Coturnix japonica: one gene and its partners. The protein of the gene in region 3 purifies or fractionates together with the protein of the main gene of each other region. This does not show direct contact. Links are inferred from orthologs where the notes say so. Each region holds a gene or a part of one and is shown on either strand. Other genes may lie near its edges.

Evidence for each region.
Region 1: the proteins of GARS1 (region 3) and GFPT1 fractionate together in Homo sapiens (co-fractionation; 3 studies listed by BioGRID, with this or other methods). This does not show direct contact. The link is inferred for Coturnix japonica from reciprocal best matches to the Homo sapiens genes GARS1 and GFPT1.
Region 2: the proteins of GARS1 (region 3) and IARS1 fractionate together in Homo sapiens (co-fractionation; 3 studies listed by BioGRID). This does not show direct contact. The link is inferred for Coturnix japonica from reciprocal best matches to the Homo sapiens genes GARS1 and IARS1.

Annotation. Positions count from the first base shown.
Region 1 is NC_029537.1:1,406,176-1,409,825, reverse strand, and holds part of GFPT1 (glutamine--fructose-6-phosphate aminotransferase [isomerizing] 1), read right to left. Parts: intron 3,559-3,650; coding exon 3,500-3,558; intron 3,118-3,499; coding exon 2,983-3,117; intron 2,389-2,982; coding exon 2,327-2,388; intron 1,856-2,326; coding exon 1,776-1,855; intron 1,334-1,775; coding exon 1,280-1,333; intron 1-1,279.
Region 2 is NC_029527.1:2,288,256-2,291,905, reverse strand, and holds part of IARS1 (isoleucine--tRNA ligase, cytoplasmic), read right to left. Parts: intron 603-3,650; coding exon 459-602; intron 1-458. UniProt on the Homo sapiens protein: Catalyzes the specific attachment of an amino acid to its cognate tRNA in a 2 step reaction: the amino acid (AA) is first activated by ATP to form AA-AMP and then transferred to the acceptor end of the tRNA.
Region 3 is NC_029517.1:3,841,838-3,845,653, forward strand, and holds the end of GARS1 (glycine--tRNA ligase), read right to left. Parts: intron 2,872-3,816; coding exon 2,778-2,871; intron 2,053-2,777; coding exon 1,862-2,052; intron 845-1,861; coding exon 719-844; 3' UTR 504-718; downstream 1-503. UniProt on the Homo sapiens protein: Catalyzes the ATP-dependent ligation of glycine to the 3'-end of its cognate tRNA, via the formation of an aminoacyl-adenylate intermediate (Gly-AMP).

The DNA of each region.
Region 1 (3,650 bases), on a different chromosome or scaffold from region 3:
CAAGCAGGATTGCTCTTTCTTTCAGTGATTCTTGTCACTGGATGCCATTCTTTCACGCCACCTGAGCACCACCAGCAGTAATGCAAACCTGTTTCAGTCTGGCTGAGCTAATGCGCTCAGACACAGATGAGGGATTCATGATTAAGCACTTGGCATTGCTCCTGAGATACCGAATACAAGCTTCTCAGTTGGATTCAGAATTTGCACAGCTGTCTTACACTGCTGGGAGGGAAGTACCTACAAGGACTGAAGGACACAGGACTAAGAACCAACTTGATTTGGTAACGTAATGCTGAGGTTCACAGTGCTGCACATGTAAAGGAAAAATACTGCTTTCATGTTGATACTTCATAAGAAGGTTCCACTCAGCCAAGAGTTTAGGGCCCTCCACTTCATTAGGTCAGTAAATGAAAGAAAGGACAGAGTGAAGGCGTTAGTGGTCAGTCTCCAACAGAAGTACCCATACTTGATCAAGACATGCAAATTTTGTTTCTCAAAATGCATTTCCCCGCATTGACTTTACTATGTTGCAATGCTTTCCTCTAAGCTGGAACAGGAATGGATAATATCGGTATCTTAACCAAGGAGTGGCTGAAAAGTTATAATGAGTGTTATCAACCAGTTATAGCTCTTATCTATTTGCCCAGAGATGACCCAATTATCTATGGGTAATCGATAGGTTCCCAATGAAAGAATCTATGAGCAACACAGAATCTTTTCATCCTTCCCCTTCTAAACCAAAGAGTTAAAATGCCATGGGAAGTCAACACAATATAATGAAAACTGGAGAGGAGGGATATGTTTTGAGTATATTTTAATACCATCTCTCTCCCTTACCACAACTCCAAGCACAAAGGCACTGCTGCACAGATTAACACAGCTGCTCTTTCCAGCTTCAGGTGTGAACTCAGTTCAGCACATCACACATGAAGGTGTGATGAAGTATTTAATATGAGATTAAAAATGGTTTGTCCTAATAAGTGCCCCATATCTTCAAGCTGAACAAATACAGCCACGTTAACAGAGCTGCAGACACAGGTAAACCTCACTGCCAAGCATTAGGGCACAATACTTGAAACAGATTCAGTGGACTTTCCTGTGTGTTGCTCATGGTGCTCCTGATCCAGATTCCAGTTATCCCATTTGTTTCACTAGATTACATGGAAAGCAATAACCACACAGTAAAGAGACAATGCCTATTTGCTTCATTTTTGATTCCTTTCCTAACAAACTGGAGGATTTGTCTGAAATGTCAACTAAGATTTTCTTTGGTAGGCACCTTCCTCCACATTTATGGATATTCCATCAAAAGAATGATCCATAGACTGAACAGCTGAAAGTGTAATTGGAAACAAAATTCAGATCAGTGGGGTGAAAAAAAAAAGTGTGTTATATACATACATAAAGAATTATCGCTAATAATCCAGCATCAATCAAGATGAAACAAGACAGCTTACTGGGACTGGTTCCTCATATTACAGCAAGGTATCATTAGCAGCAACATTAGGAAGGAGGAAGACATACTGGGACAGTCCTTACGATCACTGCAGCGCTCAGAGAATAACTCAGTGCTCAGTAACTGAATGGTTTTAACAATTTTCATTATGGGGGAATAAAATAAGGCTTGTGACAGTGCTTGCAAAGAATGTTCAGGAAAGCAAATAAACTTCTGAATGCCAACATGCCACATAATATGAATGTAAGTATCTAGGTTGAACTGTAATGCATTAAGATGTGTTTTGCTTGAAGTCAGAGGACATAAAGTTCACACTTACCTGTACGGTACAGGATGGGGATGTGGTCAGTGGACAGCTTGTGCTCACTGCGCACTCCTATGAGCAGAGGGCTGCCTCGTCTGCAAGACACCAAGTGACAGTCCTCAGTACCCAAAGGTTCATCCCATTTTGACCCAACCTGGAGGGACTGCTGTCCTCCAGCACAGCACCCTGCTGAGCTAAAACGTGCCCCAGATCCAGCATTAACTCTGTGAGAGTAACCCAAATGATGACGTGAATGTATATGGTTAAATCAACTGGACTGATCCTCACATTCAAAGGTGAAGAAGGAAACTTGGACTCCAGGCTGGCTCATCTGCAAGTCAAATGGAGCACTTGCCCATATGCTCTTTGGAATTATCTGTTCTAACAATTGGGGAAGTAAAAAACAACAGCCAACCTGACCCTACCAGATATATCCTACTATATACACCATACACCTTACCATATAACATGAGAACAACCCCTGTTGTCTTCTATCTTGGCTGAGGAGGGAAGTTACCTCAAGGTTGGGTGCACCAACACTGTTTTTTTAATATACAGATACTTACCTTGTACCAACTGCTTGACCAGGATAATGAACACTCTTAAATACGAGGGCAAAAGCACCTTCCTAGAATGAAAGAAATACAAGTGGTTTATCCCTTCATCTGAGGTCAGGAAAAGGTTTTAGGCATCCCAGTATATAGACTACACCCACATTTCTGTGGATATGTTGGAGATACTGAGCTGATTTCACTGATCATTTGGAGCCACCAGGCACCCTGGGCTCCTCCTCAGCCACTCAGTGAGTTCTGAACTGCCTGGCAGTCCCTGCAAGCACTCCTGTGTTAGCTCACAGGGAACTTACAAAGGAAAAAACCTGATAAAAAGCAACATTTGGTCCTGTCTGCAGTTACTGCAGCTTCTGCCAGGGAAACCACTGGGGGAAAAAAAACACCTCCTGAGCAACCTGCTCTGGGAAGAGATGTGCACTGTAGTGGAACCTGGTCCTGCACCAGTTCAGCCACAGCTGACACGTGGAAGCCAGGCTGTGCGCTGGAGTTCCCACCAGGGGTCAGCATCTCTTCCAGATGGAGACCAGGCAAACTTCAAGCACACACTGCCTGGACCTGACCCAGTCTCTAACAGCTCTCCCCTGGGATGTGTGCATGTCTGTCCCCATCCATCCCTGTGTCCCCACCCCACACTGCACCCCATGCATTACCAGCTGCTGGATGACTCTCTCCACCAGGGTGGTGAAGCTGATGTCGTCGCTGTCCCGGTTGTCATACATGTACTTCACCAGTTTGGCAATGCTCTCTGTGTCTGTCTCTGACTCGAAGTCATAGCCCTTGCTCTCCTGCAGCAACAGAACACATTGGGTAACCAGCCCTCCGTTTCCATCCCCTCTCTTTCTTCCAACTCTCCCTTTTTTCCTCCCATCCTGCCTCCTCCTTTGCTTCCTCTGTTCCTGCATTCTCTTTCCTCTTCTTCTTTCTCTACTTTTCTTCTTTTTGTGCCCTTTCTTTTTTCTTATTTCCTGTCTTCATGCCTCTTTTCCTGCCTTCCTTTATCACCACTCACCCTCCTTTCCTTCCTTTCCATTTTCCCTTCCATCTTTCATTTTCCCCCTTCCATGCACCCATCCATCCTTTCTTCCCACTCCATTAATACAGCTAATGCAGCTTGGAAGTGCATGGAGGGCTCCTGATCCCTCCCAACAACGCCAGGGTTCTGCTCACCAGGAATTTCCGCAGGTCTTTGTAGTTGGTGATGATGCCATTGTGGATGACGATGAACTCTGCAGACAGAGGAAGACACAGTTCAGCCTGGCAGCTGGCACCCACCCAACAGCAGGGATTACAAATCTTCACAGTGCGTAAAGCCACCAGA
Region 2 (3,650 bases), on a different chromosome or scaffold from region 3:
GGAAACAATTCCAAGCACATATCTATGCTCCAAGAGCAGGCTGACAATGCAACTCTTATGGCTTTTAACTAACAATTAGAGATGCTTTACAAGCTGTTAGAGCATCTATGTGAAGAGCTGGCTCCTTCTTCACCTCCCTGTTAATTTCTGTTCAATTTTAGACTCAGCCTTTTAAAATAAGCTGTACAGGTGAACTGATTGTCAGAAGTGGGAAAGCAATGCAGAAGGGCTCTTGTTTAAACACCAATCTTTATCTGAAGCCAGCTCTCATCTCTCTTTCAGAAAACTACAGAGAAAAGCTCAGTATAGACACTGTTTATTAGAAAATACACGCTAAAAGCAAAACCACTGCATAGAAATGAACATGTGCACAGACATCTTCATCACTAAGACATGATGTACAGACCTATCACAAAAGTCTCAACCCGTATATGAGAAGAGATTGGTATCCATCATACCTTGTGGTTTTGCATTTACTAACTGCAAGTTGATATATTGGCAGAGAAGAGCATCAGGAGAGTTGATGAGAGCAGGTGCTGACCCTGTTGTCACATGCAGAGTCTTTCCACTGAGACTAAGCAAGTCAGTTTTGTTTATCAGTTCTGAAAAAGAAAATGAGACCAGTCAGGTTATTACAAGGGAAGCCGAGGTCCAGTTTTCACTTCATTAGCAGACAGTAAGTTTTTCTAACTCCTGACTCTGGCATGGAAGCATTTCCCTCTTTGCAATTACTTGTTCAAGAAAGAACTTCACCAGTCTGACAAACAGAATTTATAGAGAAATAGGTATTTATTATTAATGCAGAGTACAAAATCTGCTATGGAAATTAGTTGCTACATCCCACTTCTTACGCACATAAATACGTGACACGACTACTTAACGCAATCAACTTAAAATAAGCAAGGAATTATTTGCTTAAGCCAACCACTTCTATCTCATTAAATTATGACTGATGATCTTTGCCTCTTCCATGACTTCCCTAGCTGAAGCAGCACTGGACACACACCATCATGCAACATCAGTACATCTCACATTAAACTCCAGATGACAGCACATTAATATTTGTGTTTAACATCAATAGTTATGATTCTATAGGTGACTCCAGTCATGAATAGTTAGGAAATGGAGAGCAATCAGACACAAAATAGTACTTTTAGGATTTTAGAAGGATTTTAGAAGCAACACCAGTGCCCTGAAAGCATGCAGATAGGAAACTAATGAGGTGCCTGTAACACAGATGAGGTACATCAACATGCCTATCTCACAAAACTGAAGAGGCAGAAATTACATCACTCTCTATTGCAGCTATCGAAGAACTACAAAGCCCAAATCTAGGAAGAATTAATACACTTAGTTGGTTTTTTTTTTTGTCTATATATCCAGTGCAGGAACGTGTCCTTTCCTTCCATGTCAGTACGACCTGCAAGTTACAGAGACTCATTTTCCATCAGGTCATCCAAATGAATTTGAGATGGACCAAACTGGCACTTTTTTAATTAACAAGGATGTTTATAATTTTAAAGATAGGAAAAGAAAAAGAAAAAGAGGTAAAGTGTGATCATAGGGAACACGCTTCCAAGATTTACCAGCTGCCAGAGAACGCGCAATGAAGTGTGGAAGGTTTAAGGGACTGCCCTGGAAAAGGAAGTAATGAAGGTTTCCCATTTCTACCCTCATACTGCATCTAAGGAGCAACCAAGCTTTTAAAGCAAACAAACAAAACAACATGTTTTCCCAGTTTTTGAAGTATCTACATAACAAGAAATATATTGCAAATAGACCTCTGGTATTTTACATAAAACAACAACAAATCCCTCATCTTTGAAAACCAACCCACGCACAGGAGGGGCTTTGCTTTTGGTTTTAGTTGCAGGAAAGCAAGAAATAAAAAAATAATGTGGTGAATTTAAAAATAAAAAACCAACAAGATTTGACCTGGGAAAGGAGCCAGCAGCGGGTTTTTCCTAGCATAATTCTAAAGCAGCGCTGCTTGCCATTTACATGCAATTACTAGATAATAGGTAGGAGACCGAACTGGAGAGTGGGCTGCTCGACACAGCAAGAACCACAGCCCAAGTAACTCACAGCTCGGCCTTACGCAGTTGCAGTAATCTGTGCAGGTCAACAGGGCACAAGCTCCAGAAACTGCCATTTGCACATTTAATGAGCCGAGCATTTCACATTACAGGACCACTGACATTTTCACAAAGAAGTTCTCATGTACAGTGCTATCATTAGACTGCTCGTATAACCCTCTAATAACAGTAATAAGCAGTCAGGCACATCATTTTTTTTTTTTTTCCATATATAACACTAGACTTGATAACAAGCAGATATTCAAAGTGCTCATCAATATTGAAATCACTTTTAGAGTCAGTTCTCCTTGCAGCTGAGATTTAAGTGCTAATACTCTCTTAAGGGTCCTCACAGCCTTCTAAAAATTCAAGAGAAACACATTGTTTCGTCCTCATGCTCAAAAATACAACGCTAAGAATAGGATTTCAATAATAAGGCTCATGAAAAATCATAAAGATAAAATAAGACACAGTCTAAAAAGTATCAGGGGCAATTTTTATTTATTTTTGCCTTGACTCCCCTCCCTTCTCTAAAAGCCCTCAATGATTTGCAGCTTCTTGCAGTCTAAGAAAGAAACAGATTCATTTCAAATAGGTCTTTTTCTATATGGGCTACTTCCCGGAAAGCTGAGCACAACTCAAAGCACTCACAGCAAGAAGCACGTAACACTGTGAGCTAACTAGAACAGAATAAATAAATGAGAAATAAAAATCAGAAAACTCTCTTTACAATCTGATTTGAACCCACTCTCTTTACTTCTTCGGTCATTTCATGGAAAACAGACACCATTTCTTTTTTCTCCTCCTGGAGTTCAGTACAAAATCCCAGAACCCTGCTCAGTGGTTGTGCAGTTACTCAAAATGCATCAATTCACCGCTGGGGAGGAAATGTTTATCCCATTATTTCAATGTTCTACTGAGAAAGAGGAACATGACATATTTTAGCCTGCAAGAACAGCCTGATTTTATGTCATTATGCAACCTTAAGTATATCTTTGTTACTATTAGAAAACAAGATGATAAAGTATTGCAAGTAAAGTGGACAGGCCTAGAAATCACAGGGAAGAAAACAAGGAGCCAGAAATACAATTTTACTGGGTCACAATTTTATTAACACATGTGGGAACAATTCAGCAACCATTTGTTCAGAATGCACGACCTCTTCTTTGCAATCCCTCTCGGGGAGCAGCTGAGAGCAGCAGCTCTACCTAAAGAGACCCAGGGCCACCAACAGAGCTCAGTTAATGCTAGCTGAGCAAAGGCTGGGGAGGTAAAGAACAGGGACTGCATCCAAATTGAACTGAATGTTGGGACTTCCAGTTCTATTCTCCAGCATCCATAAGAGCCATTTTCTGTTCACATGCTTGCACTCAACCCTGCCTCCTTAGGGAGCCCTATCTCTTACCGATCGATACTTGTTCAAAACCTCTGCCAAAAGTAAATTTGATAATCAGAGCCTTCTGAGGGAATTTCCATGTCATTAATAAGTGGGCAGGGAAAAATACCCTCTCTGCCCTGACCGCTTATACAGCCACGAACAGCAAAAGTGATGTGGAAAGAAGGAAACGAAGCCTC
Region 3 (3,816 bases):
GTCTGTCCCCTTCTTTCTCATTTCCCCACTTTACATACTGAAGGGCCATTATCAGGTCACCTTGTAGCCTCCTCTTCTCTAGGCTGGACAGCACCAGCTACAGCTCATACCCTCAGCAAGCAAAGCCACGCCAAGCAAGAACAAGAACTGGATTTCCCACTCCTCTTGCTCACCTGCAGGCAAGTGCTCCTAATTCTGCAGAATATCATTGAAGACCTGCAACAGAAAAAAAACATTGAGCCCCATCTCTTATGGTAGCTGCAAGAGGCACCAAAAAGTGGTGAGAGGATTGATACCTTCATCATCCCTTCATGGACAAGGCCAGACAGCATGCAGCACCTTGCACGGGCATCCAAAGTGATGTGAACTGATGACGGGGTGGCGTGGTCTTGAGGGACTGTAATAATCCTGTAACAGCCACAATCAACATGAGGAACAAATAAACCAACCACAAGACGCTTCTGAAGAAAGCACAAGGCTTCACGAACACACAGAAGCAGGCATAATATCACGGCCTCTTTTATTCATAACACCTTTTACTTTGACTGCAGTTATTTTTAAAGTTAAATTCAGGCAGCGGTTGAGGAAAAAGAAAATCAAATAGTCCCTGTGTGCACAAACAATGCAGCTTGGAATAATACATGGTAAGTTTATTTCATATTAACATGAACAGTAAAAAGTGGACATGTGACAGGGGAATTATTTCAGTCCCTTTCCTTTATTCCTCTATTGTGTCCTTTTTGCCAGTCTCTTGTCCCTCAAATTGTGGGTACTTGGCCTCCACGTCAGCCCAAGTTAGATAACCGTTCGCCAGGTCACGAATTATGGCAGGAAGTTCAGAGACCTGCAGACAAATCACAAACACAAATGGAACGTGAACCCATCAGAATCTGTTTGTCCTGCTGGATATTTGGGGAATGTGGGTAAGTCAAAAAGAAATAAAGCCAACACACCAGCACCATTAGCTAACAGGATGACTTATATCACAGTCTGTGTCATCTCAGTAGACTGCTCAGTTACTCAAGGTAACACATGAGGAAAAATAGTCAGTGTTGTGGGTCACAGCACGATTAATCCCTTTTAACGCTATGTTACAGTTTTGTAAGGGAAAGAAAACAATACACACATCCAGGAGATGCTGAAAGCCATGGGTTTGCCAGGCCCTACTTACTCTAAGACCAGAACAAAAGGAGTTGTTGGTTGCCTTTTCATTGTTCCTCACTGTGCGCTGGCAATATTGGGAAGAGTTGGCTTAAGAAACCAGAAAATTGGTAAAAAATTGGTGATGACAATGCTATGTGGCAGTGAGGGTTATGCAGGGGATACAGAGGCAGAGGGGTGCTCTGAGAAGCACACTAGGTTACAGTGATCTGAACTGGAAGAGCTCAGCACTGCCTCCTGCTGCAATAGGAGCCAAACTCCCTGGCTCCCACCAAGAACATAGAAGGGCACAGAGTTCTGCTCACAGGCAACGAAACTGCTGTAAGGAGATTTCCTATTGCAGTCTTTGCATTTCAACCATCTCAGCAAAGTGTGCTTAGGGCAAGCAAGCCTTTAGGGCAACATTTCACCAGTCTGACTGCTGCTGAAAAGACCAGCAGGAAGAGAGAAAGTGTGCTTGCACTGTGCTCTGTCAGCCAGGATACAGCAAGCACAGTTCTTCTGCCTTTGGTGCTTGTGGATTCAAAAGTACCCTGAAAACCAATCTCTTCCCTGGAGGATTTCTCAGAACAGCTACACTGCCTAAAGGAGTTGGAGACAGCTCCCATGTAGACCAGAGATACTGGTGGATCAGCAGCATCTCCCTTACTCTGTAAGAAACCAATTTGGCAGCAGCAAAACCCATCTGCCAGCCCTTTACCTCAGCTCGGATCTGGCGCATTGAGTCCCGGTCTCTCAGCGTGGCAGTGTGAGGCGTTCGGTTTACGGTGTCAAAGTCAATTGTGATCCCAAAGGCCACGCCAACCTCATCAGTCCTGGCATAGCGTCGGCCGATGGACCCGGAGGAATCATCCACCTTGTGAGAAATGCCATTCCTGGTGAGTGCTTCAGCTGCAATAAGCAGAGAAATAAGCTGGAAATCACCAGGACTCATTACATACTCAGCAGGCAACATGTTTGTAGCAGAGTCTTCCCACACCCTCACAGCACTACCTGAAGTGAGGCACTGTGTGTCCCTGGTCTTAAGCAATATCACAGGTCCTCATTTTGATTTGGACAGAAGTCCCTCCCAATACTCCAAGTTCAGATCCACTCCACAAGTGCATCACTCAACCCTCATCCAAAGGGCAACACCAACAGGAAGGTCACTGCCTTCAACCTGTCACTGCATTCCCATAGCTTTGCTTTAACACAAGAACAAGCCAGCCTAACACATGTGCAGGGGCAGGCTTGGCATGGGGAGGCAAGGTCCAGAGCAAAGTCTGATGCAGACAGCAAAAAAAACACACTGTCTGATAGGTAGCCTGTGTTTCCGTCCTTCATGTATTTACTTTTAGATGGCACAAGTGGAAACTTTGATAGAAAAAAAAAAAAAAAGTAATTGGTTTGTACACTGTAACCAACACAGGGAAAGCCAAGGAGTTGATTAGTTTTGAGGCTGGTTTGAAAAGCCTCATAGATGCTCAAAGCTAACAAGTTTTAGTTTAATGGCTTTCCCTTTGCACGTGAGAGAGCAACATGAACCCAGTGCTATTTTTTCCCCTCCAGCACTGAGGAATAAAACTCTCTCTCCAGTGCACACCACCACTGAGCCCAGAGTGCTGTTTTTCACTTACATAATTCCTTGACAAAAGGCATGAATTCCTGATTCTGGCTGAGAGGAAGAACGGAGCACTTGAATGGTGCTACAACAGCCGGGAAGCTGAAGAACTAAAGGAAAAAAAAGAAAAAGCATAAATAAATACAAGTCGAACAGTTAAGAGTAGATTCTTAAGAGGTAAGAATAAGCTCTAACTGAGGTTACAGGCAGGGTGACTGGGAGTAGATGTCTTTCTGTAAGCTATTAGCATTTAGGGTTTCAGCACAAACACCTCACAGTGCTAGAGAAAGACTGATTTCCTCCAGCTGTCCTCCACTCCCCCTTCCCTCCTAACAGCTAATGTTATCTCTCATCCAAAGAGAAATCTAATAGAATACTCTCTGGAGGAAGTGATTCTCATCTGAATTACAGAAAAATGAAGGGTAAGAGGAGTCTCTCCAGGAGATTTAATCTTCTGTAATGGGAAAAGTTCTTCCAATACCCATCTCACTGTTTAATTCCCATAGAAACCTGCCATGCACAAGGAATATATGCAGCTTAAAGGTTTTCTTAACCCTCCATAGACACCCTCAGAAACAAGGAACATCCAAAAGCACCAAAAAGTCCTTCCTGACTATTACAGTCAGCAGGACCTTAAAGGGTACAGCAGGAATGCAAACACAACGTGATTACACAGAGCAGCCCAGGCTCTTCAGAAAGCAAATTGATACTTAGAAGTTACAGTCTAATATCCCAGATGTCATGAGCAGTTGTGACTGAAAGTCAGCTGTGTCCTAAATCTGAGCTCCTGAATCTTGTTCCTGCACACACATCAGAACACATCAGAGATACAAAGGAATGCAACTTTTTAGTTAAAATTACAGAAGGCTGCATCTCAGGGAGGACTGAGGAAATGGCCAGTCTATTGTTCATGTTGCTGCACACAAGTAGGATTCCAGGAAAAGCAGCAGAGAGAGGAAATAAAGTAGCGAAGAGGTGTTTTCTCTAAGTGATGGGACCCTGCCAGCCAAGTGTGAATCAAGAAAAGAATTTCCCTCCCTCCTGCCAGCAATATA